5 linked regions of the Mus musculus genome follow. The protein of the gene in region 2 interacts with the protein of the main gene of each other region in a pairwise test. Links are inferred from orthologs where the notes say so. Each region holds a gene or a part of one and is shown on either strand. Other genes may lie near its edges.

The links.
Region 1: the proteins of Fbf1 (region 2) and Tubgcp4 interact in a two-hybrid assay, tested with the Homo sapiens proteins (2 studies listed by BioGRID and IntAct). The two-hybrid records come from large-scale screens. The link is inferred for Mus musculus from reciprocal best matches to the Homo sapiens genes FBF1 and TUBGCP4.
Region 3: the proteins of Fbf1 (region 2) and Accs interact in a two-hybrid assay, tested with the Homo sapiens proteins (2 studies listed by BioGRID and IntAct). The two-hybrid records come from large-scale screens. The link is inferred for Mus musculus from reciprocal best matches to the Homo sapiens genes FBF1 and ACCS.
Region 4: the proteins of Fbf1 (region 2) and Cinp interact in binary tests that used the Homo sapiens proteins (3 or more experiments, as listed by UniProt). The two-hybrid records come from large-scale screens. The link is inferred for Mus musculus from reciprocal best matches to the Homo sapiens genes FBF1 and CINP.
Region 5: the proteins of Fbf1 (region 2) and Ushbp1 interact in binary tests that used the Homo sapiens proteins (3 or more experiments, as listed by UniProt). The two-hybrid records come from large-scale screens. The link is inferred for Mus musculus from reciprocal best matches to the Homo sapiens genes FBF1 and USHBP1.

What each region holds. Positions count from the first base shown.
Region 1 is NC_000068.7:121,169,022-121,174,867, reverse strand, and holds the start of Tubgcp4 (gamma-tubulin complex component 4), read right to left. Parts: upstream 3,701-5,846; 5' UTR 3,475-3,700; coding exon 3,397-3,474; intron 1,311-3,396; coding exon 1,182-1,310; intron 1-1,181. Other genes in the region: Zscan29 (zinc finger and SCAN domain-containing protein 29), read left to right, coding at 4,744-5,058, 5,465-5,669. UniProt on the Homo sapiens protein: Component of the gamma-tubulin ring complex (gTuRC) which mediates microtubule nucleation.
Region 2 is NC_000077.6:116,164,223-116,169,956, forward strand, and holds the start of Fbf1 (fas-binding factor 1), read right to left. Parts: upstream 3,957-5,734; 5' UTR 3,369-3,956; coding exon of another isoform or gene 3,330-3,368; exon of another isoform or gene 3,129-3,329; intron 3,007-3,128; 5' UTR 2,911-3,006; intron 1,691-2,910; 5' UTR 1,661-1,690; coding exon 1,610-1,660; exon of another isoform or gene 469-1,609; coding exon 441-468; intron 1-440. UniProt on the Homo sapiens protein: Keratin-binding protein required for epithelial cell polarization. Involved in apical junction complex (AJC) assembly via its interaction with PARD3. Required for ciliogenesis.
Region 3 is NC_000068.7:93,839,388-93,844,503, forward strand, and holds part of Accs (1-aminocyclopropane-1-carboxylate synthase-like protein 1), read right to left. Parts: exon of another isoform or gene 5,109-5,116; coding exon of another isoform or gene 4,887-5,108; coding exon 4,816-4,886; intron 3,602-4,815; coding exon 3,532-3,601; intron 3,229-3,531; coding exon 3,162-3,228; intron 2,576-3,161; coding exon 2,478-2,575; intron 2,000-2,477; coding exon 1,922-1,999; intron 737-1,921; coding exon 636-736; intron 1-635. UniProt on the Homo sapiens protein: Does not catalyze the synthesis of 1-aminocyclopropane-1-carboxylate but is capable of catalyzing the deamination of L-vinylglycine.
Region 4 is NC_000078.6:110,885,827-110,891,694, forward strand, and holds the start of Cinp (cyclin-dependent kinase 2-interacting protein), read right to left. Parts: upstream 3,320-5,868; 5' UTR 3,247-3,319; coding exon 3,240-3,246; intron 1-3,239. UniProt on the Homo sapiens protein: Component of the DNA replication complex, which interacts with two kinases, CDK2 and CDC7, thereby providing a functional and physical link between CDK2 and CDC7 during firing of the origins of replication.
Region 5 is NC_000074.6:71,391,559-71,397,427, forward strand, and holds the start of Ushbp1 (Usher syndrome type-1C protein-binding protein 1), read right to left. Parts: upstream 4,244-5,869; 5' UTR 4,156-4,243; intron 3,912-4,155; 5' UTR 3,836-3,911; coding exon 3,782-3,835; intron 3,614-3,781; coding exon 3,492-3,613; intron 3,253-3,491; coding exon 2,817-3,252; intron 958-2,816; coding exon 832-957; intron 1-831.

The sequences.
Region 1 (5,846 bases), on a different chromosome or scaffold from region 2:
GGCAGCTCAACAGGTTGGAGTATCCTGTCCAGGTAGCTCAGTTGGTCTGAGCCTCTTCTAAGCTGGTTTCTGCTTCTTTGGGGGCTGCTTGGGGTGTGTGTGTGTGTCTGGTTTTAGGGAATACCTGAAGCTATTCTAAGTTGTTGACTTTGTGTCTTAAGGTGCTTCTCCCAATGGTGATTCTCATAAGCACTGGTAATTCTAGTTCCTGGGGGACTCAATACCTTCTGGTCTGGGCAGGTACAGGACATACACATGGTGCACACAGATGCAGCAAGCAGAACTCAGACCCATGCAATAAAAGTAAATCTTAAAAGCATCAAGACGCTCATCGAGGGGACATATAAAATATGGCTTGTCTTTCAAGGATCCTTCAAGTTGTCTGGTTGGTCCCTGCTGCTCTCCAGGCAGCCTGGCTTGACTGAGAGTCTTTTCTGTAGCTGGGCTTGTCTGAGTGTGACTCAGTGGTCTTTATTATTTATTCTTTGGAGGGAAGAGCCTAGTGACTCTGGTCAGCTTCATATAAAGCTTCTCATATCGTTTTATATGAGGAAGTAATGGTTAACAGTTAGCTAAAGGCTATGATGGAGGTAGAGATCTGGGTAACCAGGCTCTCAACAGTACAGAAGTACAGAATTCAGCTCCAGATGTGTTACAGAACCTTGTGTTCAGAGGTTAGAAAACACAATGTAGTCAGCCAGAAGAGGTTACAAAAAAAAAAAAAAAAAAAAAAAAAAACCAGAAGGATCCTGAAGTTCCTAAAGAGAAATGTTCATAGGATGGACATGAGACCAGACGGGTTTACAACCAGCCAATGTTATTCTGCTCTTATGGCATTACAGAAAACCTGAATGAGTCTTCATTCATCACTCATTAACACAAAATGTTGTTACTGTTGCTCATTTTAAAACAAACAAACAAAAACAAAAAATCAAAAGAAAGGACTTTCTTTTAGAAGTTGAGAAGTAGGAATTCTCATTACATAAAATCTGTGTAAGAACATGAGTAGAGTTTTTGTTGTTACCCAAGAAAAGTCAGAGATCTTGCCTTCCCTTGAGCATTTCCAGTGATTCATAAACTCAGGAGTATTCCAGAAATTTCTAACTTGCTTTACCAGTGAATTCACTGCCTGATAGCACTCCTGCCCTGTAGAAGCCCATATCCAGATAACAGGATCTCACCTGTTGCTGCACATGGCCTGTATACTGTTCAATGAACTCAGTGAATCGAATGTAGTCTGTGCCAAGCCGGCAGAGTCGATTCAGGACACTAGTCTCACTGGGGTGAAGAAATGGAAAATCCTGGGAAACCTGAAAGAAGAGGGATAGTCATAAAGGAAGCTAATGCCTGCTAGTCACCAGTCATAAAGGAAGCTAATGCCTGCTAGTCACCAATCAAGGTTCTTTGCAGCTTAAAATGCTTTCTATTCTCTTTTCTATTTCCTTTCCGTAAGGTGCCCATGGTTTTACATGGTTTTAATTTTCCTTGTTACTGGGTTGGTAATTCTGGTTAACAAGGTATTGTTACACAATTACAAGGTCGTGTTCCTCATCCAGATGTAATTGCTTGTTCTTAAAATAGGTACCCTAGAGAAAGAATTCACACAATAGGAGCTGGAAAGATGTTCTGGGACTCACATAGTAGGAAATTCTTGCAAGTTGTCCTCTGACCTACACAGAGGGGATCAGGGGAGAGGAGAGGAGAGAGGACAGACAGAAACAGACAGGGACAGAGACTCCCTTGGCTTATATCTTCAAATTATGTTTTGCTTGAAAGCTTAGGCAAGTTACATCATGGCACCTCTCAATGTCTTAGTTTTCAGAAGTAAAAAGTGGAGATAACTGTGATAACAGATAATATGAATGACAGGTGTTAATCACAGTTACAGATTCAATATATATGTATGTGTGTCTTTTATTACTGATGACACTTCTACAGTTATCAATTTTTTTGTGACTTTTTAAAAATATTTTTATTAGGTATTTTCCTCATTTACATTTCCAATGCTATCCCAAAAGCCCCCCATACCCCCCCAACCCCCCTACCCCCCCACTCCCACTTTTTGGCCCTGGCATTCCCCTGTACTGGGGCATATAAAATTTGCAAGTCCAATGGGCCTCTCTTTCCAGTGATGGCCGATTAGGCCATCTTTTGATACATATGAAGCTAAGAGTCAAGAGCTCCGGGGTACTGGTTAGTTCATAATGTTGTTCTACCTATAGGGTTGCAGATCCCTTTAGCTCCTTGGGTACAGTTATCAAATTTGAACACTTCTTGTTGACAGAGTTTTAGAAAAGTTCTAGGTTTAAGATCAGTGAAATGGCTCAGAGAGTCAGGCATTTGCTACACAAACCTGAAGACCTGAGTTAAATCCCTGAAACCTACACAAATGTGGGAAGAGAGAAGTGACTCCATAAAGTTGACCTCTTCATACACTCTGTGACATATATGCCCACACTCATACAACATAGACACATACTCTAGTTTTAAAAAAAAAAATTCTAGTTTAGGCTTAATTACTGTGAAAAAGTCAACTCCACCTTGAAGTCACTGATACCATTTTACACAACACACTTAGACACATTTGTAGTTGTCATTCTTTTCTTTGCCTTTCTCTGCCCTCTGTTCCCTTCTTTTCTTGCTTTCTTTTTTGAGAGAAGGTTCCACAGTGAAGCCCAGGCTGGACTTGAATCACACCAATAATCCTGCTTCAACTTCCCAAAGGCTGGGATTACAGGCACAAACACTACGCCTGGCTATTAAACTCAGTGTTGCCAATTTAGTTTCGGCAAAATATTGAGTATCACGCTATATCTGGGCTTCTCACGGGGGTTGGGGGAGATAAAGGAACAGAGGGGGAGAGGAAGAGAAAACAACTAACGGGTACATTCCTGTTATACTCTTCTAATTACAGGAAAAACCCCCTCTCAAGTTCTTCACCTGGTACAGAAATTTTCGAAGAAAGGAGGGAAACACCATATGTTTACAAATTCATTTTTTTCATCCAACACAATTTACTGAGTATTGTGTCTTGAGCGCTTTGTATACATTTCCACTACTTTCAAAATTCAATTTGAATCAATGCAAGAGTTCCCTATCCCTCCCCCTTTTCCCTCAAATAACTATCATCTAATTCCAGCTACACATTTAGGGATTCAGTTTAACAACAAATTCATATGCAGTGAAAAGAAGTGTGGTTCTATCCACTCCTAGTGGTTCTCTAGCAGGAGTCGCGGGACCGCAGGGCCCCCATAGCCGGAGCTCCGTAGGGTTGGCCCTCGGTTTCTCCCCGCTCGCGGGCGCCGGTCGGTTGGAGTTCCCCGGGTCCCGCCCCTTCGCTGCGGCTCAGCTGCACCCGCCGCGCGGCAAGCGACTCGTCTCTGACCCCCTGCATACCTGCAGGCCACTCCGCTTGTTCCAGGTGAAAATGGACCCTGGGTACCCACTCAGGGCCAAGAGCAGTTCGTGAATCATTTCTAGGGCGGCTCGGGAGTCCCTAGATCTACCACCTCCTCTTTTCAGCGCCTCTCCGGGCGACCCCTCACACCCAGCGGAATCTCTTGCCCTGAATCCCCGCAGTCCACCGGGAGAGGAGATGCCACAGAGCCGCGCGCCGCATCCCGGAAGTGCGCGCGGCCCAGGCGCCCACCGCCTCGCTCCCGCCGCGGAGCCGCGAGGAGGCGCCGGTGCCGTCGCGCATGCGTCCTGGGCTCCAGGAGAAGCCCGCTCGGACTTCCGGCTTGAGAGCGGGACTGAGGCTAGCCCAGGAGGGGAAGGGATGAGAGTGAGTTGAGAAGCTGGTTGAGAGAGACGCGGCCTGGGGTGGGCCGGCGGGAGTCCTCAGGACGCCTTGGCAGGGTCTGTGGCATTTTGACCGACTGCCGACGTCTCCCAGAGTGACCCGGCCGGAGGGAAGAAAACAAAGCTGGAACTTGGCAGCCGCCGCTGTGGAGCTGTGCTCGAAGCCCACGGACTCGCAGCACCGGCCCGCATCGGCCTCGTTCTCAGGAGACCCACCACTGCCGCCCCTCGAGCTTCCTCGCTTCACCAACTCCTGTAACTCTCCCCTAGTCCACCTCAATTTAGAAGCCCAAGTCGGCTCCCCCGGTGCGCGACCTTCCCCATCTGTCGCCCCGGAACTCTTGCCGAGTTCTTACTTCGTTCGGGAGGCGCGAGCAAGAGACCCAGTGTTCGGCACTTGACTTTGGTTCGGGGTGGAAATTTGTAGTTTGGTGTTCAAGGGGCGGGGCAGACACCAGGAGCTTCTGGAAGGACGGCGGTGGTTCTAGGGGAGAATAGCCGGCGCTCGCTGGACAGAGGCTTTTTGTTGTCGTTCGCCAAACGTTTTGACCGATTTGATCTGGGGCGCTAATGATTTACCTGAGGTGGGAGCGAAGCGGACAGATTTTTCTTTTCTCTGCAACTTCCTGGGGATACTCTAAACGTCACCTAGAAATGCAGTTTTTAAAAGGTCATTTTCACCTTGCCTATTGATTTGCTGTCCTGAAAAGGTACTGCCTCAGAAGGCCACTTCGAGCATATTGAAAGTCAGGCCGGCTCTGACAAGGTTTTAAACATGTAAAGATACTCTCCTCAGATAGCGCCATTTCTCTCTACTCTAGGATAAAACTCCTTTTTACAGAGAGACTCATCTGCAGGTGTTTCTCCAAGGGCATGCAAAGATAGTGTAATAAGTCCTAGAACCCAGACAGTGAGGAGAGAAACGGCTTTCTGCTGTGAAAGATGGCCAAACCCACTCGGAGAGGAAATGGCACAAGCTCTGAAAGCTTACGACAGCGCTTCAGAAGATTCCATTACCAGGAGGTGGCTGGGCCCCGGGAGGCTTTCAGCCAACTATGGGAACTTTGCTGTCGGTGGCTAAGGCCGGAGGTGCGGACCAAGGAGCAGATTGTAGAATTGTTGGTGCTAGAGCAATTCCTGACTGTGCTACCTGTGGAGATCCAGAACTGGGTACAGAAGCAATGTCCAGAAAATGGAGAGGAGGCGGTGACACTGGTGGAAGATTTAGAAAGAGAGTCTGGAAGACCTGGACATTCGGTGAGGAGGAGGGGGAATACAGTCAGAAGTGTGTGGCTGGGGAGAGACAAGGATGGAGGGGCAGTTTAAGATCAGTCGGATGTAAAGAGGTTTGGTGATTTTGATACTTCTGATCTGGAAGGGTTACTTTTTCAGGTAGGGCTTGCTTGGAGATGCCTACTCTGTTACAGTAAGTCTTTCACTTCAGTTTCTTAAGAGAAAAAATGGGGGAAGTTTCTTTTCCAGCTGCTATTTGGGTTTCTGTTTGATCTTTCTGCAGTTTCAACCACTCTAAGCTGATGATAACGGAATAAACACTTGTCTGTCCTACTCCCCACCCTCCACTCTGGCCTGGCCTCAGAGGATGGTCTCCCCCTGGGAATGCCCCTTGTTATGACCATGTCAATTAACGGGGGGTTATTTCTAGGTCACAGTCTCTGTGAAGGGGCAGGAAATGCACTCGGAGAAGATGACACCCCTGAAATCATCACAGGAGTTATTAAGTGTTCTGCAGGAGTCAGTGGAACCCCAGCCCAAGGGTGTATCCAAGAAAGAGAGGGCAAGAAGGCCAGCCCTGAGACTACAGGAGCAGATGAACCCAAAGGAGAATCTCAGACCTTTTCAAAGGAGCGGTGAGGAGTAGATGTGTGTGGGAGACAGAGCCCTCTAAGCTGGGAATAGGGTTGGGAGTAGTGAGTGGGGAAGGTTTCAGGGATAGTGGCACCTGTGTGGCACCTCCCAATGTGATGTTTCAGGACCCTGGAAAGGCAGCTAGCTCAACCCTCTGGTAGAGTAAGTATTTTTGTATC
Region 2 (5,734 bases):
AGCAGAAGTATGTGTCATGACATTCCTGTGGAGGTCAGAAGACGATCTGCAGGAGTCAATTCTCTCCTTCCTGGCTTAGGTGCCAGGGGCTCAGGCTACCAGGCATCAGACATCATTATCTGCTGAGCCTACTCACCGGCTTGTTTTGTTTAGTTTGTAAAAAAACAAAAAAACAAAAAAAGGAGAGAAAAAGGATGTCAGCCAGGTGGAGAGGACACGTGCCTTTAAGCCAGCACTTGGGCAGAGGCAGGCAGATCCGAGTTTGAGGCTGGTCTGCTTTGCAGAGTGAATTCTAGGACAAAATTAAAAAAAAAGAAGGAAGAAGGAGAAAAAAAGGAGAAAACAAGGAAAAGGAGGAAGAGGAGGAAGGGAAGGAGGATGAAGATGAGGAGGAGGAGGAGGAGACTGGATTAAGGGTGGTAATCTACATTTCCACTTACCTTTCAATCCTTTCTTGGTTCTCAGTGCCTAAAATGGGGGAGGGGGGGAAATAACATCAACAAAATCCAACTGTGAGCCTGTGTTAGAACTGGGCAAGACATATGCTTTGCCCTTCTCTAGGCTCCCAGAGGAAGGAGCACTTACAGATGAAATCAGTTCTGTTTTCCTGCAGCTTCAAAAAATCAATTTACTCAGAACCCAGAAACAGTCTTTACAGCAGAGTCTAGCTGCGGACGGACGCCTCTCCTCTGGGTTACAGATATTACACACAAAAGCCTCCCAGACAGACGCAATGACCAGAATGCTTTCTTCTGTTCTGTGTAGACGTCTGAAGGATGTCTAAAAACACTACCAGTGTCCGCCAACAACTGGATCAGAGGTCCGTCCCTGAATCCACTGCCTGCCCGTGAATCCTCTTCCCCTAACTGAGCTGCCTTGTCTGGCCTCAGTGGGAGAGGACTGGCCTAGTCCTGCAGTGGCTTGATATGACAGGATGAGGTGGTACCCACAGAAGACCTCCCCTTTCTCAGAGTTCAAGGAGGAGGGGCTGTGTGAGGGAGGAGTACCTGGGCTTGGGATAGAAAGTGAATAATAAATTAATGGAAAAAAAATGTTTCTGGCACAAAATTCAGAGGACTCAGAGGCTCAAGATATAGGCCAACATGGCTCTCGTCTTCAATTCCAGCACTTAGGATTCAGAGGCAGGGGGATTTCTATGAATGCCAGGCCAGCCTGGTCTTCTACATAACAATTTTAGGCCAGACAGAGCAACAGTGAGACCCGGCCTCAACAAAACAACAAAAATTGAGGCTCAAGAGAAACTTTGCTCATTGCTTAACGGTTTGGCAGGGTTGTTTTGTTTTGTTTCATTTTGTTTTGGGGGGTGGGGGGTGGTCCTCCCTATGTAGCTACTGGCCCAGAGCTTGCCACGTCAAAACAGGCTGTCCTGGAATCACAAGAGATCCGCCTGCCTGTCTCTGCCTCTACGTTCTAGGATGAAAGGCCCAGCTCAGTTGCTTGATTTTCCTAATGTTGCCCTGGCATGGGACCAGCGCTGGTCCTTGCCACAGAGCTTCTATTCTATGCAGCCAGGATGATGAGGGTCGGGTGGCATGGGGTGGGGTGCATCGTGTCTATCTTCATGTGTCTAGTGCTGTACTCTGCCTACCATCCTGGGCTTCGGGGCTCTCTGCAGCTCCTCACAGCACTGTCCAGTCATGTGTATTCTTGCCCAGCAAGCTCATCTTCCCTAATAGAGAAAATAAAAGAAACTGCTTAAAAGATGGAAGCTGGAGCGATGGCCGGCTTAGGAGCCAAGAGCCCAAACTGGTTTTGCAGAGGACCTGAGTTGGGTTTCCAGCACTGTGTTGGGTAGATCACAAGCCCCCCAGCACCCCAGGTCCAGGGGGATCCAAGCCTCTAGCACCCATGGGCATCTGCACCCACATGCACACACACATTCATAGAATTAAAAACAAAATCTGGACACAGCATAATGCTGAAATACCAGGACTTGGGAAGAGGTTAAAAAAAAATCCCGAATCTCAAGGCTATCCTCAGCTACATAGCAAATTCAGGGCCAACCTGGGCTACGCAAGTCTCAAAAATAAATAAATACACATAAATAAAAGGTAGAATTCAGCATTTCCCAGTGCTTGGCTCCAAGGCTCTTAAGAATCCTTCACTTAAGAGATCAAAACCCAGCAGGGTAGCAGTGGTTCATGCCTTTAATCATAGCACGCAGGAGGTAGAGGCAGGCAGATCTCAGAGCGTGAAGCCAGCCTGGTTTACAGCGCAAGTTCCAGGACAGCCAGGAATTGGTCAAACCTATTTCTATAATCCCAGAATTCCTGAATTGAATGCCATTCAGTGAGTAAAGGTGCTATTGCCAGCAGGCCTGCCTATCTGAGTTGGATAGCCCAGGACACGCATTATGGAGGTAGAGAATTGACTCCTGCAAGTCTTCCTTTTACCTCCATGTGCGTGTGTGCTCCACTACGCCAGATGAGTAAGTAAAGTTCAAAAAGAATTCCTGAGGTGGGTATGATCATACACACTTAGCGGCAACCCTAGAACTTGGCAGGAAAATCACAAGTTCTAGGCCAACCTGAGGTATGTAATAGAAAAAGCAGTCTGGAGGTGGTAGCACTTAGGAGGCAGAGGCAAGTGGATTTCTGGGTTTGAGGCCAGCCTGGTCTACAGAGTGACTGCTAGGACAGCCAGAGCTACACCGAAAAACCCTGACAAACAAATCAAAAGAGACAGAGATGAGTATTTGAGCTGGACTGGATCCCCAGTACCCATAGGGGCTTACAAACTGTCACTCCCATCGGGGACAGATGAATGGATCGATGTGTTTTTTGATTGCCCAGACATGCATGTGGTGCACAGACAGACACACAGACAAAACACCCATACGCATAAAATTAAAATTTTAAAAAGAAGAAAAAGTTAGGCAGTGCTTCATACCTGCAATCCCAGCACTTGGGAGGCTGAAGCAGGATTGCTGAGTTAGGGGCCAGCTTGAATGATATATATAGTGAATTCTTGGGCTAGGGTAAGCTCCTGCCGCAAGAAACAGATTGGGGGAGGGGTGGGAGGGAGAGAGAATACATGAGGATTCCTTATTCACTTATCGGCCTTTCCTTGGCTTGGAGAGTATTTTAAAAGTAGACCATATCCTTTACCCTGGAAGTGGTGACAAGTGGAGCCATTTGGAAAGAGAAACCACATCCGGACTCAAATCCCTTGCCAGGAAACTCTCTATAGGCTGCATCTAGCACAAAGCCTGACAGTGAGTTCACATATGATAAACATTTCATACAGGGAACAGAATTTCTCAGCATTTCCTACCTCCTCTTTGTCTCTTACACTTCACCCAAACCCACCTTCACGTGCCTAGGAAGAAAGGCAGCTGGGGCGCTCATCTGTCTTCTCGGTGTGCCTAGTCTCTTATTAAAATGCAAAGTGTATCTGGGGTTGTGGACACAGGGGAATGCTTGTGTTTCTCCTGTGCAATGGCAACTTTAGCGATCTACAAGTCCAAACGCGTTTTCGCTCATATCACATCAAAGAATTTCTGCTATCTCCTATGCATTCCGTCGCAGCTTCCCAGACAGGGCCGGGGGTACATTTTCTAGGGGCAGCTTGTAATGGCCAAAGTGTTCCAGAATATTGTCACGTCTTCACATATTCAACCAACTCCATGAAGGCATTTTAAAATCCGCGAGCCCGCCCCTCAGCCACAGCGGGTCCCGGAGTGTAGCGCCAGGCCAGGCATTGTGCCTCTCAATGTTCCATCCCCCGCGCGCCCATCCCGTCTGAATCCAGACACAGCCGAGCTTCTCCCTAGTCCCTAGGGGCCCTGTTAAGAGCTGTCCTTTCAGAAACAAGGCCACGGAAACCAAGCCCAACCAGATCCCAGGGTTCCGACTCCACTCAGTGCGCTCCGTTCGGCCAGGCCTACCACCTCTCCGCCGGCGACAGTCCCACCTCGCAGCCTCTGGCCTCAAATAGACGGTGGCGTGGAGGATTCTAGGAACTGTAGTCCGTCGCCCGTTCACTAGCGGGCCGAACCACAGGACTTGACCGGAAGGACTACATCTCCCAGCGTGCCCCGCAGCGGGGGCAAGGCGTCTGTTGGATGCTCCGCGAGTTGCTAGGAGCTGTCTCAACGTCACTCCCGTGAAGCGCGGGGAAAGCATCTCCCGACTAGGTGCAAGGGAGTTCCTCAAGTTCGGAGGGCTAATTGGTGACCATGATCTTCTTCTTGATCAATCATAAGGTCAAAGCTGCTCTGTCAGAAGACCCAAAACTATCAACAAAGGCACACAGTGGACATGCCACGCCCAGAATCATAGCGTTTGAAACCTAGGCTAGACCTAGATTGTCAATTTCCTAGGTCAAAACTGGCTGTTGAGACCAGCTACATAATAGTGTCTCGGAATTAACACAACACACTTTCTTAGGTGCAATCCAAAGAAGGAGTAAATAAATCTCTAGCCAGAGGCAAGGTGGTGCTCTGCCAACACAGATGCTCCAACTCTCTACAAATTTAATTTTAAAAAATTGTTTTATATGTGCTGATGTTTAGATCGAGTCCACCCTCCATTGTACTATTGTACCTGCTCCAAATCTTCCCATAGCTGTTTCCTCCCCAACTTCATGTGTTCTTATAGAAAAGAACTTAGTGCCTTGAACCCAAGACTACCAGCCCAGGGATGGCACCACTCACCATGGGCTAGGCCCTCCCCCATTGATCACTAATTGAGAAAATGCTTTACAGCTGGATCTCATGAAGGCAATTACTCATCTGATGCTTTTTCCTCTCTGATGACTCTAGGGTGTGTCAGGTTATACACAAAATCAGCTAATACACCTGTCTTACAAGGAAAGAGAGGAGAAGGAAGAAGGAAGAGGAGGAAGAAGAGAAGGAAGAGGAGGAGGAAGAGAAGAAGGAAGAAGAGGAGGAGAAGGAAGAGGAGGAGGAGGACAAGGAGGGGGAGGAGGAGGGAGAGGAGGGGGAGGAAGAAGAGGAGGAGGAAGAGGAGGGGGAGAAAGGAGGAGGAGGAGGGGAAGGAAGAGGAGGAGGAGGAGAGGGGAGGAAGAGGAGGAAGAGGAGGAAGGGGGAGGAAGAGGAGGAGGAGGAGGTGGAAGAGGAGGGGAGGGAGAATCTTGTATACAGTTTGTAGGAGGGAAATGGAACAGACTCAGGAGAAAGCAACCATACCACGGATGATGTCGGCCGGAAGCTAATCAAGCAGTGCTGCCTAAAAGGGACACAGGTTCTCTCAGGGACACCACATAAAAGGGACACAGGTTCTCTCAGGGACATAACATAAGAGGGACACAGGTTCTCTCAGGGATATCACATAAAAGGGACACAGGTTCTCTCAGGGACATCACATAAGAGGGACACAGGTTCTCTCAGGGACACCACATAAAAGGGACACAGGTTCTCTCAGGGACATCACATAAAAGGGACACAGGTTCTCTCAGGGACATCACATAAGAGGGACACAGGTTCTCTCAGGGACACCACAGACCAAGCACAGGAGTGTCTTGGGAATGATAACTCACACTCTTTTTTTTTTTTTTTTTTTTTTAAAGATTTATTTATTATTATATGTAAGTACACTGTAGCTGTCTTCAGACACTCCAGAAGAGGGAGTCAGATCTTGTTACGGATGGTTGTGAGCCACCATGTGGTTGCTGGGATTTGAACTCTGGACCTTTGGAAGAGCAGTCGGGTGCTCTTACCCACTGAGCCATCTCACCAGCCCCAACTCACACT
Region 3 (5,116 bases), on a different chromosome or scaffold from region 2:
AGGCTGCACACATAAAGCAGAGGACCCTGGAGCTTTCGAATCACTGCAGGGAAAAGGAGGCACCCTTGGGGTCCTCCATGGTGGGCTGGAGACAAAGAGACTCAGACTCATGTCTGCTCCCGCTCCTGATTGGACCACTCTGAGGCTCTGTCAAGCAGGAATGATAAGTGTTCCTTTTTCTTGGGGCTGCTGTGAGTCGGACCACAGACACAACACAGAAAGGCTCAGCTGGGAAGATGGTCTGGTCAGTAAAGAGCTGTCTTGCAAACATGAAGGGCCCAAGTCTGACACCGAGAGCCCTGGGGTTCACCGGCCAGATAGCCTCTCCTACTTGACAAGCTCTAGACCAGTGAAATCCTTTCTCAAAAAACAGAGCATCTGAGGCATGTCTCTGCTACCTTCCACATTTATACACACGTGAACACAGTTAAACACATAAATAAGTAAATAAATACCTAAGTGCATAAATAATAAAGTGTTCAGCATGGCGCCTGGCTCTAGAGCATTACAGCTGGTAATGTTTTTAAGAAGACAGGGAGACACCACAGCAGGTAGCAGCCCACAGGGGTCTAAGGACTTGCCCCAGGCCACATCAGGACTCTGTCTGCCCACTTTGTGGGGTAGGCAGAACTCACCTCATGGCAAATCTCAGAAAGTCCTGCAGCTCTTCCGGGGAGTAGACGTCACCCAGAGGGTTTTGGGGGTTGATGAGGATAAGGCCTTTGACCTTGACACCCTGAAACCATCCAGGGGGTGTTTCAGTGTCCCCCACCACCACTCCAGAGCCTTACAGTCTCACTGGATGAGGCTGATAGCTGCCCAGGAACGCATGGCAGAGACAGGCTCCTGACCCAACAAGAAGCAAATGAGTAGGTCCCAGACTGACATCTGCTGGGCCATCCCAGCTATGGAAAGAGAGCAAGCAGGGAGCAGGGAAGCATGCCAGCTGCCAGCAGAGAGGCTGCTCGTGTTGGAGGAACTGAGAACTTTCACGGCGCCTGCACTGAGCACTTGACAGCATGAATGGCAACAGTAAATGCAGTGAAGTGCACGGATGCTGGACATGGGCAGAAAGCAAACGTGGGAACTTAGGTCTCTGCCTTTCTTAAGGAGCCCCTCAAAAAGAACAGGATCACCCCTCAATTTGCCAGAGAGACTCACTAAACTATAAACTCTTATGATCCATATTTGACCCTGAAGCAGAAACAAAGGACTAGAGTAGGCAGAGTATTCTTTTTAATTAGCATGCTGTGGTGGTTTCAATTAGAATCCCACCCCCACCTCCCATAGGTTCATATGTTTGAATGCTTGGTCTTAAGTGGAACTGTTTGGGAAGGATGGGGGAGGTGTGGCCTTGTTGGGTGGGTTTTGAGGCTTCCAAAGCCTAGTGTCTCTCTGCAGACCAGAATGAAAAGCTCTCAGCTACTTCTCCAGTAACCATGCCTGTCTGCTTCCTGCCATGATGATAATCGACTAACCCTGTAAAACTGTAAGCATACCCCAATCAAATGCTTTATTTTATGAGTTACCCTGGCCATGGTGTCTCTTCACAGCAATAGAACAGTAACTAAGGCACATTCATTCATGAAAAACAATAACGGGCTTCACTCCTGACATTTTCCTGCACATGTAAAATTAATTATGATCCTATCCCACCACCTCCTGCTACCCTTTATTGTGAGGGGGAAATTTCTGATGAAATTCCCTGGTTCTCTGTATACTGTGGTTTCAAGGTCTTTTTCTAATGCGAAGGCCCTCCATAGATACAGGATTCTGCCTGACCCCCAGTCCCAGGATGGTTCCATAATCCACCCCCCATATGTCCCTATCAATGTTACAAGCCCAATTCCCAGGAGATGAAGGGTCTAGCACCTGCTGAAACCCACCCACTCCCAGTGCTGGATTTGACTGAATCTCCAACCTCAGAACTGACTCCTTGCAGGACCATCTCCAGCTTCTCTACGGTGAGCTGGAAGGGGCGTGTATTCAATCCAGTTACCTGGGGAAAGACCCACCAAAGTCAGGAGCCAAATTCAGTGACATGGCCCCAACCCCAAACTTGAACTCTTGGGACTCTCTTTCCCTGTCATCCCCAGCCTCTTGGGCACAATCTCTGAAAAACAGGAAGGACTGCTTCCCTTTCCTGCCTTCCACCCCACCCTTATCTCTTAGGTTTCTGGCAGAGGCAGCGAGGCTTCTCTGATTGGCTCTCAGGACTTCCAAGGTTTAAACATCCCCTTTCCACCCTCTCATTTATGGGTCTGATCCTTGGCTTCTCCATGAATCCAGGATCTTAGAACCTGTAGCTTGGAACTTCCAGAGAACCCAGGCAGAGGTGTCCATGCAACAACAGAAGGCACCACTACTGTTTCAGAGCAACCCCAAAATCCCTAACACAGGCTCCCTTCACACCCACCCACAGATTCAGAACCAGGAAACCCTTGCCTACAGGAAAACTCAAATGCCGGCACTCTTACCTTGCTGTCTAGGTAGACATAAGCCAGTCGGACGTTGCCATAGAGATAGATGTGCTGAGTGATGGCTCCGTAGTAAGGTGTGGGGATCAAGAGAGCCTCTAGGAGCAGGGGCAGACAACCTATTGGCCTCTGGCTTGGATGCTACAGACCCTGTCATGTACACCACCACCACCCTTCCTAGCCTCTATCATCTCTGGGAAACATTTGGGGCATATTCTTGCTCTCAGTTCCCCAAATCTTAAAGCTTGGTTCCCCAAGATCAGGCTTTTTCTAGTATAGATGCTCCTTCACTTATAATGGGGTCACATCCAGACTAACCCACTATAAGGTGAAATTATATAAAAATGTATGTGGCCCTCCTAATCTCCTGAATATCCTAGCAGCCCATAACAGGGCAGAGTATTGGTGTTGACTCAAAATCTCACGGCTGCTTGCAGGTAGAGTGGGGGAGCTCACTGCCACTGCCCAGCATTGCATGAAAATACCCCATCACACAGCACTTGCCAGAGAATCTGTCATAGTTCAAAATTCCTAAGACCAGGGGTGTGGCTCGGTAGGTAGAGGGCTTGCCTTGCATACGTGAAACCCTGGCTTCCACCCTCAGTACCCCAGCCAGACAACCGTGGTCACAGCCTAGCACAGCCCTGGCAAAAACTGAGGGAGTAAGGCATGGCGTCCGCTTACCCCCTGCCTCACACAGCACTGTGGCCAGAGCGGAAAAGAGAGAGGCACAGCCATTCAGAACAACCACCTACGTGTGACAGGAGACAAGAATGCCTCTGTCAGGAGACAGAGAAGAACAAGGGCCATGGAAAGTGCTCTGGGGATCTACCCTGACAAAGGCCTCAATTGGTTCCCAGCCAAGCTGATTTCTGGGCACCTTGCTCTTGATTAAGGGAATGATCGATGGAACTGATCACTCCCAGGATCTCTCTCAAAGGTGGGGAAGTCAAAAGGATCACAGCATAACGGGGTTGGGAAGTAAAACTTAGAGGCAGGCAGACCCCAAGTGCCCTTCCTGACACTGCTCACCCCTAGGAAAGGTAGGACTCACATTCTCTGGTTTCAGGGGTGCCGGGCTCTTACAATAGAAAGACAAGAACTTTGCCACTTCTTCCCGGAGGCTAGAAGAACAAACCAACAAAATACAATACTGTCAGAGCATCCTCAGCCCAGTCTACTCCAGAGCCCCTCTGGGAGCCTGTAGGTGGCTGGCTACCACTGCCCCATCCTCCCTTCCCAAAGTAGCAGACATTTATCTCCACTTCAGCATACCCTCCCCCACCCAGCCACAAAGTATTCTGGTCTAGGTCACCCAACCTCACCTAATCAGGAGACTGTGGGGGAAGAGATAAACACTCTATACATCTAGCTGATAATGATAATAATTAACATTATTATGACAGGAGCTGTTACCATGGCTCTTACTGAGCTTCAACACCACACAAATGTTATTCAGAGACTGTTTCATGGTGACTGTGATTACTATCATCACCATTTGCAGATAAAGAAACTGAGGGAATCTGAAGGAATTGACTCCCTTGCTAGTAAGTGGCAGAGTCCTTACTCAAGCCCAGTGGCCTGCCCCAGAGCTCACCATCTTGATGACCTTGTTCTAAGAATGTGAGCTTTGGGACACATCTTGGGTCAGGTCCTGCTGGACCACGAATCCCTTAGAACAGTGCCTGACTCTTAGTAAATAATCAGTACAGAGCTGGTGAGATGGCTCAGTGGGTAAGAGCACCCGACTGCTCTTCTGAAGGTCCGGAGTTCGAATCCCAGCAACCACATGGTGGCTCACAACCATCTGTAATGAGATCTGACGCCCTCTTCTGGAGTGTCTGAAGACAGCTACAGTGTACTTACATATAAATAAATAAATCTTTAAAAAAAAAAATCAGTACACAGCACAGTTGGTACCATTCCCTGACCCATCAAACCATTGAGAGGGGGCCCCAGTCAGCTCCCTTGTCATCTCTAAAGCTCCTGGAAAAGCAAGGGCAGCCTCCTCACTTGCCACAGACTTAGGGTCACAGGAACCAAGATGGGAGTTCTGGGGACAGAGCTGAGGCTGATAGGCCAGCCCATGGTCACCAGGTCTCCACAATTATGTTCTCAGCCTACGGCCGGCTTCTTCACTCAGACTCAACTGATGTGGTGGACAGAACAATTCCTTGTTGAGGCACTCCCCTGTGTGCTACAGGGTTAAGAGCACACCACTGACCAGTAGATCCTTCTTTCTGTTACACCAAACAGAAATGTGTCCCACCTCTACTCGACCTCCATGGGGACCTACAGGTCCCATGTTGGGACACACTGGCCTGGGGCATCTACTTACAACAAATGTCCTCTCCAGTCAGGGTACTGCAGCAGAGATGGTTCCACATGAAGCATGTCACCCTGTGTCAGCTGGGGACACATAGGAAAAAGAGCAAGGTTGATGGCCAGCACTGTCACCTGCATCCACACAGCACTGTGGCCTTCATCAGCGGGTTTTCTCCTGCTTCTCAGAGAAACCGTGAAAGGAGCACAGGACAGCATTCCCAGGCCCATTTCACAGATAAGCAAACCAAGGATCACAAAGTGATGGCAGGGCCACCGAGCTAGCAAGTGGCAGAACTGAAAGGACATCCGGAACT
Region 4 (5,868 bases), on a different chromosome or scaffold from region 2:
CTTTTCCCACGGCACTTACTCCAAAAGAGTCAAATAATATACAAGTAAATTGTCTTAACCAGTCCAGACCATAGTACTATGTAAAAAAGGGAACAGAAAGCCAGGAGTCTTGGCAAAGGCTTTAATCCCAGACTAAGGCAAGAAGATTGCTCTAGGTCAGCCAACCACTGAGTTCTGGGTTTCAGTTAGAACTGCCTTTAAAAAAAAAAAAAAGAGGCTAATGTGGGCTCCGTAGTAGGATTAACATAAATAAAAAACAAAATGGGGTTTTGTGTCAGCATGAACCTCTGAGCTGAGGTATAAATAAGCCAGGGAAAGAGGGTCAGCATGGGTCTTATGTGAGTGACCATGAACTTGGTGACTACAAGAAACAGGACAAACCCAGCATGAAGAGGCTCAGAGACACAGCAAACCAGGGCTCACATGGCTAGAGCCATAGGCCACACAGGCCACTTCAAGCACAGCAAAGAGCAGGCAGTGACCTGGAGCAGCTCGGGGTCTCGTCTCATGGTCCACCCTCACTACCAAATGGGTAAACACTTGGTCACCTGTGATAGAGAGTGGAAGGGGTCCCTGGGGATGAGAGCGTCTGAGTGCAGATGGCACAGAGAAGGGGGGTGGGGTCAGAAGAGGGCCCCGAGCAAAACGCCATAAAGAAACCTACTTTGTAAGCTAATTAAAATAAATACATGATGTAAATATGTTCTACCCTCCTATAGGAAGGAGGAGGCAGTGATGAGGACATTGGACACTAGAGGATAATAACAGAATTCTTTTCACTTTTCATTTCAATCTTAATTGTTAAACATCCCCTCACTTGAAAGAAAGAAAGCCAGGCAGCCAGCCTTTAAGGAAAGAAAATTCTTTGGGTTTTTAGTGGAGGATTCCATATGTTAAATTCCATATGGTAAAAGTGTCAACGCAGCAACACATGAAAGGCTTGCACACACAGGTACAATGTCCACCTTTAAGACATGAAATATAACTTTTAATTGTATCTTCACATCTAAATGATCAGATTATTTATTTAGTTAGTTAGTTCTTCGAAATAGGGTTTCTCTATGTAGCCCTGGCTGTTCTGGAACTCACTCTGTAGACCAGGCTGGCCTCGAACTCAGAAATCCACCTGCCTCTGCCCCCCTATTTTTTTTGTTGTTAGGGTTTTATTGCTGTAAAGAGATGCCAAGGACCATAGCAACCCTTATAAAGGACAACATTTAATTGGGGCTGGCTTACAGTTCACAGGTATAATCGATTATCCTAATGGTGGGAAGCATGGCAGGCAGACCTGGTGCTGGAGAAGTTAGCTGAGAGTTCTACAATTAGTTCAGCAGGCAGCAGAAAGAGACATTGGGTCTGGCTTGACTATCTGAAACCTTAAAGCCCACCCACTGTGACATGTCCTCCAACAAACTCACACCCATTAGTGCTACTCCCTAAGAGCTTCCGGGGCAGATTTCATTTTTAAAGATCTGTTTTTATGTGTGTGAATGTGTGGGAGTGGCTGCTGAGGCCAGAAGGGTGACTGGTGGCCTGGAGCTGGAGTTACAGGTGTTTGAGAGCTGCCCAGTGTCATGTGGAGATCTAAATTCCAATGCTCTAGAACCGAGCCAAAAAATCTTCAGCTTCCAGTTTTATTTTTCTGTAATTTAACAAAACCTTCTTTAGGAGACTATACTATTTTGAGACTCTCTTCTTCTGACTTCCAAATTTAAACGCAACCAGAATTTATAGCTAAAATTCTACTTGTATATAATTGCTAACTTATCTGTAAGTTGCAATAAATATATTTGCAATAGTTAAATGCAAAAAGGGAAGTCATTGTCCTGGTTACTTTTGTGGTTAACTTGGTCAACCTGGGAAGAGAGAACCACAGTGTAACAACTGTTCGTGAGGATGTCTGCATGGTGAATGATGTACAAGGGCCTAACTCTCTGTGGTGCCGCAGCCCTTGGGCAATTGGTCCTGGGCTGTGTAAGAAACGATCTGAGGGGCTGGAGATGGCTCTGCGGACCTAGCACCCAAAAGAGGCTTACAATCAGCTGAGATTCCTATTCCAGAAGATACCATGTCCTCTTCTGGCCCCTGTGGATACAGCTGACACATGGTACGTTTACATAAATGTAGGTATTATACACGGAGAAGAAAATCCTAGGAAAAAGCAAGCCAGTAAGCAGCTATTCTTCATGGCTCCTGCCTCTGGTTCTGCTTGGGTTCCTACCGAGTTCCTTCATAGATGGATTGGGACCTGGAAGGGTAAGACAAATAAACCCTTTCCTTCCCAAGATGCTTTTTGGTGACGGTATTTTACCATGGCAACAGGAAGCAAGTTGAACAGTTATTTCCATCAAGAAGTCTTCCTGGACTCTCCCCCCCCAACCCCCGCCGCCGCCGCCCCCACTTCCACCCCTGGTTGCATTACGAGTCACTGCAGTAGACATATTATCTCCTATTCGTTGGCTGTCATCACATCCCCTAGTGAGTCAATTTCTTCTATTTCTTAATTCTATTTTCTCCGCAGGACTGAGTTCAACCACAGTAGGAGTTATGTCTTGTTCCCTCCCATAACTTGCACACACAGCTGATTGAGAATCAAACGGGCTCCATGGAGGAACTGCTCTCACCTCCTGCATTACATTCGTCCTTCTTCGGTAGGGGTCCCTAAGGGTGAGGATCACGGCTGACTAAGTTTGCCGGACCCACTTAGGAACCAAAAGCACAGCTCTGACTTCTAGACACTCAGAGACAAATGGGGAGATGTCAGTAATGTGAGTCGCAGGGCAGCTGGTAGAGAGAGAGGCACAGCAGTTTAGCTGCTTACCTCTTGTAAGCTACCAAAGCAAAACGGGACTCAGCAAGCCATACGCTAACGCACTGACCCATGCGACACGAACCGACAGAGACAGCCTTTATTACACACTGCAAGCTCCACGGCCCGTCTTACTGAATGCCGGAGTTTAGGGAAGGGTTCTCCGAGGGGCTGGCACGTCAGGCTTGGCTCCAATGTGCTCAGGGATGCTCTGAGCGTCACACCACTGACACTTCACGCACATCACCGCACTCAGACGACACTCACACCGTAATGAACAAGGCTCCCGGCAGCCCACGAGGTCCAGGCGCGCCCTGCATGTCACGTCGCGCGCGGACTCATGACCTCCCCCACCCACCCTCCCACCCCTCATGACCACGTCCACGACCTGCAGCCCCCACAACTAGGGAAACACAGCACTGTCACGCACCTTCCATGCGGCGGCCCACAGGTAGATTCCTGAGAAGACCCAAAAACCCGCCTGCGAACTGAGGAAGTGACGTCACTTCCGTCCTTGGGCCCGCCCACACTTGTGGCTCTGCCGCTCTAGCCCTCCGCGGAGTCACTGCTACTCTCTGAGGCCTAACCCGTTGCCTAGGCAACAGGCTCCCAGCAGCCCCTGCGGCCCGGAGTCCATCCCGCCTCCTCCGGGTTGGCGGGGCTGAGGTGTCCTGAGGGGCTGCCGCGGGAGGTGAGTTCGGGAGCGCGCGGGCGGGTGCCGGACGCCTCCGACGTCCCCGACGCCGCCCCTCGCCTTTCCTCCCCCTGGCAGAGCCGCCTTCCCCTGTCTCAGCCCCTCAGCGTCTCCACAGCCGCGTCGCCGTCCCCCTGGCAGCCGCCGCACGCGGCGCATCTGTCAGCCGGAGTCTGTGCAGAGCACCGGGCGTCGCAGCGTTCGCACACCGCCCCGGGCCGCCCTGGCGTCCCGGCTCCCCTCGCTCCTCCCCTCCTGCCCCACCCTGCATCCCTCTCGCGGCCGGCTCCAGGCTCCTCAGCCTGGAGATTGACATTGCGTTCTGTTCTGTCCCCCCGATCCTCAGCTGGATCCCTTACATTGCCGCTGGCTTGGCCGCCCAGTAGGAGTTGAGTAAGGGTTGGTTAAATGGATACCGAATGCCTCCCGGTGTGGCCCCCGAGGCGGAATGGACAGTGAATGGGGTGACCCTGGGTCAGACTCGGGGTCAGGTCATTGCGCTTCCCCTTCCTACCCGTTTACTGGAGCAAGTGTCAACTTCCTAGCTTCAGTTTCGTCATCCGTAAAATGATAAGTTTTTATCTTGGGATAGTGGAGGATTAAATGGGTCAGTGCATGCATGCACAGCCGACCGTCCAGGGTCTGACTGAATATGATCAAGGTTAGTCTCTGCTGTCACCCACACGGCTCTGTGGGCTTCGCTGCTTTTTCCTCTAGTCCCTTAAGTCTCTGGTTTCCCATTTCTTTCCATCTCCGTCTTTACTTTTCTTTCCTACCCTTTGTGCTTCCTTTCTTTCTCACCGATATTCAGGTATTTTTCTGTTCCATTTGTTGGCAGCATGTGAGGTGTATCGTTTTGTCGTTGACTGGAATGATCATTTGCAGCCAAGGTTTTGAAAACTTTTGGAGCAGGGAGTTGTGGGAAATCAGGTCCTAGGTATGAAGTTGCTCTAGTCTCTTATCGCCAGAGAGTCCTTGTCTTCGAAGCTGTTACACTTTTTGTACCTACTCGCACCCAGCTGTAATGCTGATATACCTGTGATCATTTTGTTTGTTTTTGCAACCTGACTTACAGCCCGTGTTTGTTCATTCATTGAGTGTTTACTAGACTTCCCTCATGCCAGTTGCTGGGCCAGGCCCTAGGGGTGTATGCTTACACTTCACACCTAGTCACTCCCTCAGGAAGGTTGGAGTCTAGCTCTTGAGATTTCAAACCTGAGAATCCCGTCTGGTTTGGGAATCATGGATGGGTAAAATGAAATAAAGTCCTTCAGGGGTTCACTCCCCCCCCCCACCCCGTAACTTTTAAAAATCGTGTTTTATGTGAATGGATGTCTTGCCTCCATGTGTTTTTGTGTACCCACGTGTGTGAAGTGCCTACTGAGGTCAGAAGAGGGTATCAGATGCCCTGGAAGTTAGCTGCCATGTGGGTGCTGGGAATTGAACTCTGGTCCTCTGGAAGGGATACCCTGTGTTACAGGCTGAGCTACCTCTCCGAGAGCCCTAAGCAGTTGTTTTGATGTAGCCACATTGTCTTTTTCAATGGAAGACTGGTTCTTATTGGGTTGGTTTTCAGTTTTTCTTAGGGAAGTTATCTTTTGGGGTTGAAGAGCTCGGAGTCCATTCATAGTAGCCTCTAATTTAAACAAAATAGCTGCTGGCACTTAGTGGAGAGGAGGAAGAAAGCAGACGACAACAATGATCTTGAATTTAGAAAGGTGAAGAACAAATTAGGAGATGGTTATATTAATAAGAATGGACGTTAGGGACAGGGAGTGTGGTAGAATCAGAAGAAGAAATTAGGTGGTGGTTTGTTTTATTTAGGGTTGTTGTTGTTTTCCAAGACAGGGTTTCTCTGTATAGGTGTGGCTGTCCTGGAACTCAGGCCAACTTTGAATTCAAAGATCCTGCCTGCCTCTGGCTGGAACTAAAAGCGTGTGCCAGCCCATCTGGTTTGGTGGTGTTTTCTCTGGATTATTGAGACAGAAGCAGCTTCAGAATGTATGTTTCCCATGAATGTAGCCTTCGGATCTGGTCACGAGATTTCCAGTGAATCTTTGCTGTGGTCTTGGGGCAATGTGGCATAGAATTTTGTTTGTTTTCTTTTGGGGGACAGGATCTCACTATAAAGACCAGACTGTCTACAGCTTGGAGAGATGCTCCTGCCTCAGCCTCCTGAGTGCTTGAATTGTAGGTGTGCACCACCATATGTGGCTCAGCACAGGGGGTTTGAGAGAGATTAACCCAACAAGTATGTGTTGAGTGTTGATTGTACTGTAGCCTATTGGATGTTTCTATTCTTTGTTGTAGTTTGTCTGTTAGACGTGGGGGTTGGCAGAATCTTGCTGTGTAGACTTTGATTGGT
Region 5 (5,869 bases), on a different chromosome or scaffold from region 2:
CTCCTGGAATGAAGAGTTGCAGATGATTGTGAGCTGCCATGTGGGTACAGAGAACTGAACCTGAGTACTCTATGAGAACAGCTAGCACCCCTAACCATCGAGCCATGTTTCCAAGTCCTGTTTAGTTCTTTCAGATACTACAGGTTGTATGGACAGTTTCCTCCCAGATAGAGACATTCCATCCTGCAGATTTGCTCCTGAAGCAGGAAGGTAAACAACTCTAGTTTCAGAAAGTCTGAGAAACTAAACAGATGGACTAGGCCCCTCCCTGCCAGAGTAAGGAAAGTCCCTCTGAGATGAGAGAACAAACAAGTGTGCAAAGAAGACCTTGAGACCAGACCAGCTGTCTGAAGAAGGGTGAGACCAGAGTCACTAAGAAGGAACAATCTCCAACCTGCAGGCTTTGTAGTGAGCTCTATGTCCCCAGCTTTTGTGAGTTATCACTCACGCTATCATTCACACTGTCACTCATGCTGTCACGCTGTCACTCAGGCTTTGGTGATGCAGCTGTCTTTGAATCATTCTGCCCATCAACCTATATGTAACTACAATCCTATATGTACCCATATTCATACCCATAATATATAGCCTTAGTCCTATTTGTAACCCCAATAAAACTCATTGGTTCACCAAATTGGACATTGGTGGTGTCCATATTTTGATGTGCCACAGGCTCCCCATCTGTGGTCAGTTGATGTGTGTAGTGTTTCCCCAGGAAAACTTTTTGTCACACAATATTATGGCATCCCATAAAGCACAAACTGACGGTTACCACTCACACTGGGAATGCTGGGAACATCATGACTTGGACTCAGAAGACTTTAGGCTTACCTGAGGTACCCAGGGTCTCCTTTCTGCCCCAGAAGTACTGGAGTTGCTGTTTCTACGCCCTGCTCTGAGGATGGGGGTAGGTGGGGAGGCCTCCATCTGCATCAGGGAATCCTCCAGCTCCTGTACCTGCCAGTGATAGGGGATCAGGCCATGGCTTCACATATTCAACCAATTCTCTACAGCAACAGCAGCCCCGTCAATGTGGCCTGGAACGGTCCCCAGCTGCCACAGAGGCCTAACTAGGGGAGTGTAGCTACTGGCAAGGTGATGGGGGACACAGGACGATCACCACGTTTTTTATATTTTTAAGATTAATTTTTTTATTTATATACATTGGCATTTTCCCTGCATGTGTGTCTGTGTGAGGGTGTCAGGTCCCTTAGAACTAGAGTCAGTTGTGAGATGCCACTTGGATTCTTTGAATCAAACCTGGGTCTTCTGGAAGAGCAGCCAGTGCTCTTAACTGCTGAGACAACTCTCCAGCCCTCTCCACTTTATTCCTTTCTAAATTTTTAGTCATTTATACCTCCCCAACTGAAGCCACCCCCCACTTCAGCCTCCCAAGTAGTTGAGATTTCAAGTGTGCCCACTACATTCAGGAGAATTCATTTTTGTTGTTGTGAGAAGTCTCTGAAAGCTGTGCTAAGCCACGCCCCTAGCCCCTCATTGGAGGATTCTAGGCTGTCACTCTACCCCCCCCAGTCACGCCCACAGCCCTGACTGGAGGATTCTGTATCCCTACTTGTCCTAGTTTTGTTTTGAGACATTTGCCTATCTCGTCAAAGCTAGTGTTAAACTGTGATCCTCTCATCTGAGCCTCTGAAGTCCTTATCATTACAGGCTTGTCCCACCATATCTGGGTTTAACATCACCCATAATCTGTAGGTTTCTGGTCACCTCCACTAAACGCCCCGGGCCACTTCACCCCTCCTCCACCTTCAGGATTATGGTCCACCGCCAGACTGTTCCGCTCACAGTCATCAGATGGCACAAGTGAACGCCTGCAGCAGGTCAGTTCCCCTCAGAATCCACCACACACCAGAGCACACTAGCTTTCAACACCCTGCATACTGTGGCCTTCCCCCACGCGCCTTCATCTCTCCCACTCTGTTCCAGCCACAGTGATCTCAGGATCTGTGGTGGTTCGTGTGAACTTGACATCAACTGGAATCATTTTGGAAGAGGGACCACAATTGAGAAAATGCTCCCCGAAATGGACCTGTGGACACTTTTCTGATTGACAATTGATGGGGAGGGAGGGGCCAGCCCATTGTGGGTGGTGCCATCCCTGGGCTGTTGGTCCTGGTTCTATAAGAAAGCAGGCTGAGCAAGCCATAGGGAGCAAGCCAGTAAGCAGCATCCCTCCATGCCTTGAGGTTCCTGCCCGAGCTTCCCTCAGTGATGGAGTGTGGCCTGAGAGTCTTAAGATGAAATAAATCTCTTCCTCCCCAGTTGCTTTTGGTTGAGGTGTTTTATTACAGCAATAGAAACCCTAAAATAAGTCTGGCATAGCTCACACCTTTAATCCCAGCACTGGGAAAGCAGAGGCAGGTGGATCTCTGTGATTTTGAGGCCACCCTAGTCTACCCTAGTAAGTTCAGGACAGCCAGGGCTCTGTTACACAGAGAAATTCTGTATCCGAAAAAACGAAAAATAAAAAACACCCCCCAAGACAGGATTAGTGTGTGTGTTTGTGTGTGTGTGTAGTGCAACTGACATAGGTAGGGTCTGTAATCCAGGCTAGCCTTGGACTCAGTCTACAGCTGAGAACAAAGTTGGTCTTAGCCAGGGCTCACCTGAGTGGAGACTGTCCCTCTTGGACTTCCTGAGTGTTAAGATCATGGGGTGCAGCCTGCCTGTCTTCCTTGCTCTCCCTCTCACTGTGCTGTCTCTGTTGGTCACTTCCTTGGCACATCTGTCACTGTTCCACATCAGTGTGTCTGCTCCCAAGGCTGGATCTGCCTCTTCCCCAGTCACCAGCTTACCTGTCTCTGCAGAGTCTCCTTCTCTGCCTGGGCGTCCTGCAGTGAAGCCTGAGTGCATGCCAGCTCATCCTCCCGGTTGCACAGGGCTAGCCGCAGCCAGGCGTTCCTCTCTATGAGGCGAGCAGCCTCCTGCTGTCCAGGTCCTGCGTCTTCTTTCTCATCACCAAAGGGCCCCGGAGCCCCCTGGTCTCTGTCTTCTGCTTCCACTGACTTTGGAAAGCTTAGCGAGTGGTGGCGCAAGGCAGCTACAACTGCCTCAAGGGAGCTCAGCCTGCACTGCAAGGTCTCATACACACTGGGTACTGATATCTCAGCAGGGCCACTATCCAGGGGGGCTTCTTGCAGGACCTGGTGGGCTTCCACCTCAGGCTCGCACTGTTCTTCTGGGCTCAAGGATAGAACCGCATGGGATCCCACATCACAACCCTCCTTGATCCTGTGAAGATAGTGGGGGAACCCCAGCCACCTGAGGCTCAGAAGAGACCTGGAGGGCTAACCCTAGGGTCGCTAGGAAGGTAGAGTAGGGAATGAGCGGCATGGCTGGAGGATAAACAGGAAGAGGAGAGAGGCAGGCAGCAGAGGCAATGGGCAGGTGAGTGGCAGGAGGCAGCTTTGTGCAGGGGGGGTGTTGGGGTGTTGGGCTAGAATATAGGGTACATACTAAATGCATCCTACCAGTTCCTTGGGCTCTGAAGGCCAGGACCAAGGTATTCCTGATGCAGCTCAGGTTTAGTCTCGAAGCGTCCATTGTTGGCATCTACTTCCTCTGAGCTCTCAGCTACAGGGTCTAGCTCCCCCTGTGAATGAACCCCGTTTCCCCCCAACACACACACACAGTCTCTTGGCCATCATATCCAGCTCCACCTGTGGAGGACTCCCCTACACCACCACGGGCTCTGAGCCTAGCAGGCCTGGGTTCCCAGGATCCATGGGACTGAGTGTGGCAGGAAGAGGGGCACACTTACAGGCAGAGGATGCCTCCCTCGACGGCTTCGGGGCCGTGTGGCCCGGGCACTCATTGCCTCTGTCACTACAGTCTGCTTTCAGTTCTTGCCTTCGTCACCTTAGAATCCTTGTTTTTTGTTTTTTTGTTTCCTGTAGGATTTTTGGGGTGTCTACTCCGATTGACACATTTAAATATTCATATACCTCTCCAATAGTGCCCACTAACTATCTACTTGTTCCTTACTCCCCCATCCCCCATCTCTACTGGGCATTCTTCTCCCCTCAGCTGTCTGAAGGCGTTTCTCTTATCTGTGCCCCACCCCCCATAGAAGCATTGGGTAGGGACCCTAAAATCCTCTTTCTTCCTACGGCTCTTAGCATCAAACTCCCTCACCCTGGGGGTTGACCCTGCTGCGCTCTTCTCTGCTTCTCCAGAGCACCTTGGGAAAGGCCTGAGATCCAGGGCATATCTCAAGCCATTCTGGCCACTGGCTACTGAGGCTGCGATAGCCAAAAGTGGCCCGGGAGGGGCTGGGAAACAGGAAGCCCCCCTACCCTGATCACATGGACAGTTATTGTTTCGTTTCCTTCTCCAGGATGCCGGCTTCCTCCAGAACGGGAGGAGGATGGAGGACCAGGACCTTTGTCCCGCTCTAAAGATATCAGTATCCCCTTACCCGAGGCCAAACCTTCCATTTTCATTTTGGATTTTTTGTGTCCCCTGTTCACCAGGACTCGCTCTAATGTGAAGGTCTTTGTGTGTGTGTGTGTGTGTGTGTGTGTGTGTGTGTGTGTGTGTGTGTGTTTCTAAAACCAAAAAAAAACCAAAACTGTAGGAGTTGGCTTCAGCATTTGCACAGCTTTTATTTTTCATTACTTTGCTTTACTCATCTTTGTCTGTGGTGGTCCTACTTGTCTCCGAGATCGAACTCAGGCCCCTCAGGATTGGTGGCAAGAGCCTGCACCTGCTCAGTAGCCCACAACGTTTCTCTTCAATGAGTCTGAACTGCTGCATCAGGCGGTTGGAGGCACTGGCAACAATAAGCTTGTCCACAGTGTGTCTGCTGCCTTCTTTACTTTTTCTTTACATTTTAGTTTTTATACAGCGTCTCATTTAGCCCAGCCTGGTCTAAACGCCCGATCTTCGTCTCCGGGTCTCTGGAGTGTTGGGATGACAGGTGTGCACCACCAGTCCTCATCAAGGTACTAGTGAATGAATGCCAACCTAAGTTACATAAGTAACTGAGAAGGCCTTTGGCAAGTCCAAGCCAAGTCCTACCCCGTCAATCATCAAACGGCCCCGCCCAGCTCAGGCTTCTGTCCTATTTCAGCAGAAGCCTTGAGAACCATAGCGTGATTAAACCGGAACTACAAATTACGCCCAATTTTGCTTCTATCCACCACAGATCACACCCACTCCCAGTATTACCCATCTTCAGCCCCATTCCAGCCACTCCAAGCCACACCCCCAGAACGCCTCAGCCTATCAGCTTCCATGTCCCGAGGGCCACTGAACTACATTTCCCAGAAGGTGTCTCGGCAGCGCCGCACAAACTTCCGGCCAGGAAGATGGCGGCTTCCTAGAGTCCTGATTGACTGGCCGCGGTGCCCAGGCTACAGAGTGGAACCTGCGGCACTGTGAACGCGCGTGAGCTTTGTGTCGCCGTGGTCTAACTTCGACCCGGATTGCTGTAGCTCCAGGTTCGTTCTTCTTGAGGACTTAGGGGTGGGGGATTCGAGGTCCCGAGATGCCACCCCTAAAACCGCGCATCCATCGCAGGGTCACTTGGGCTTCCTGTGTTTCCCTAGGGACCGGACCGGCGCCGCCTCAGGGGAAAAGTAGTTTTGGGAAACTTCAACTGTATCTTTTCGGCTCCACAAACCAAGTCTCCCAGGTGTGGGAGCCACTGGAGGCCTTAATGGGTCGAATACCCAGTGACCAGGCAACTGGGGTGTTCGTCCTGTGTAAACAGCGGAAAGCTAAGGATGAACAGCAGTTCAGTTGGAACAGTGCTTGTGGCTCAGTTGGTAAAGAGTTTGCCTAGCTTGCATGAGGCCCTGGGTATCCGTCCCTAGCACCACCTAAACTATGTGCGGCGGTGTACTCC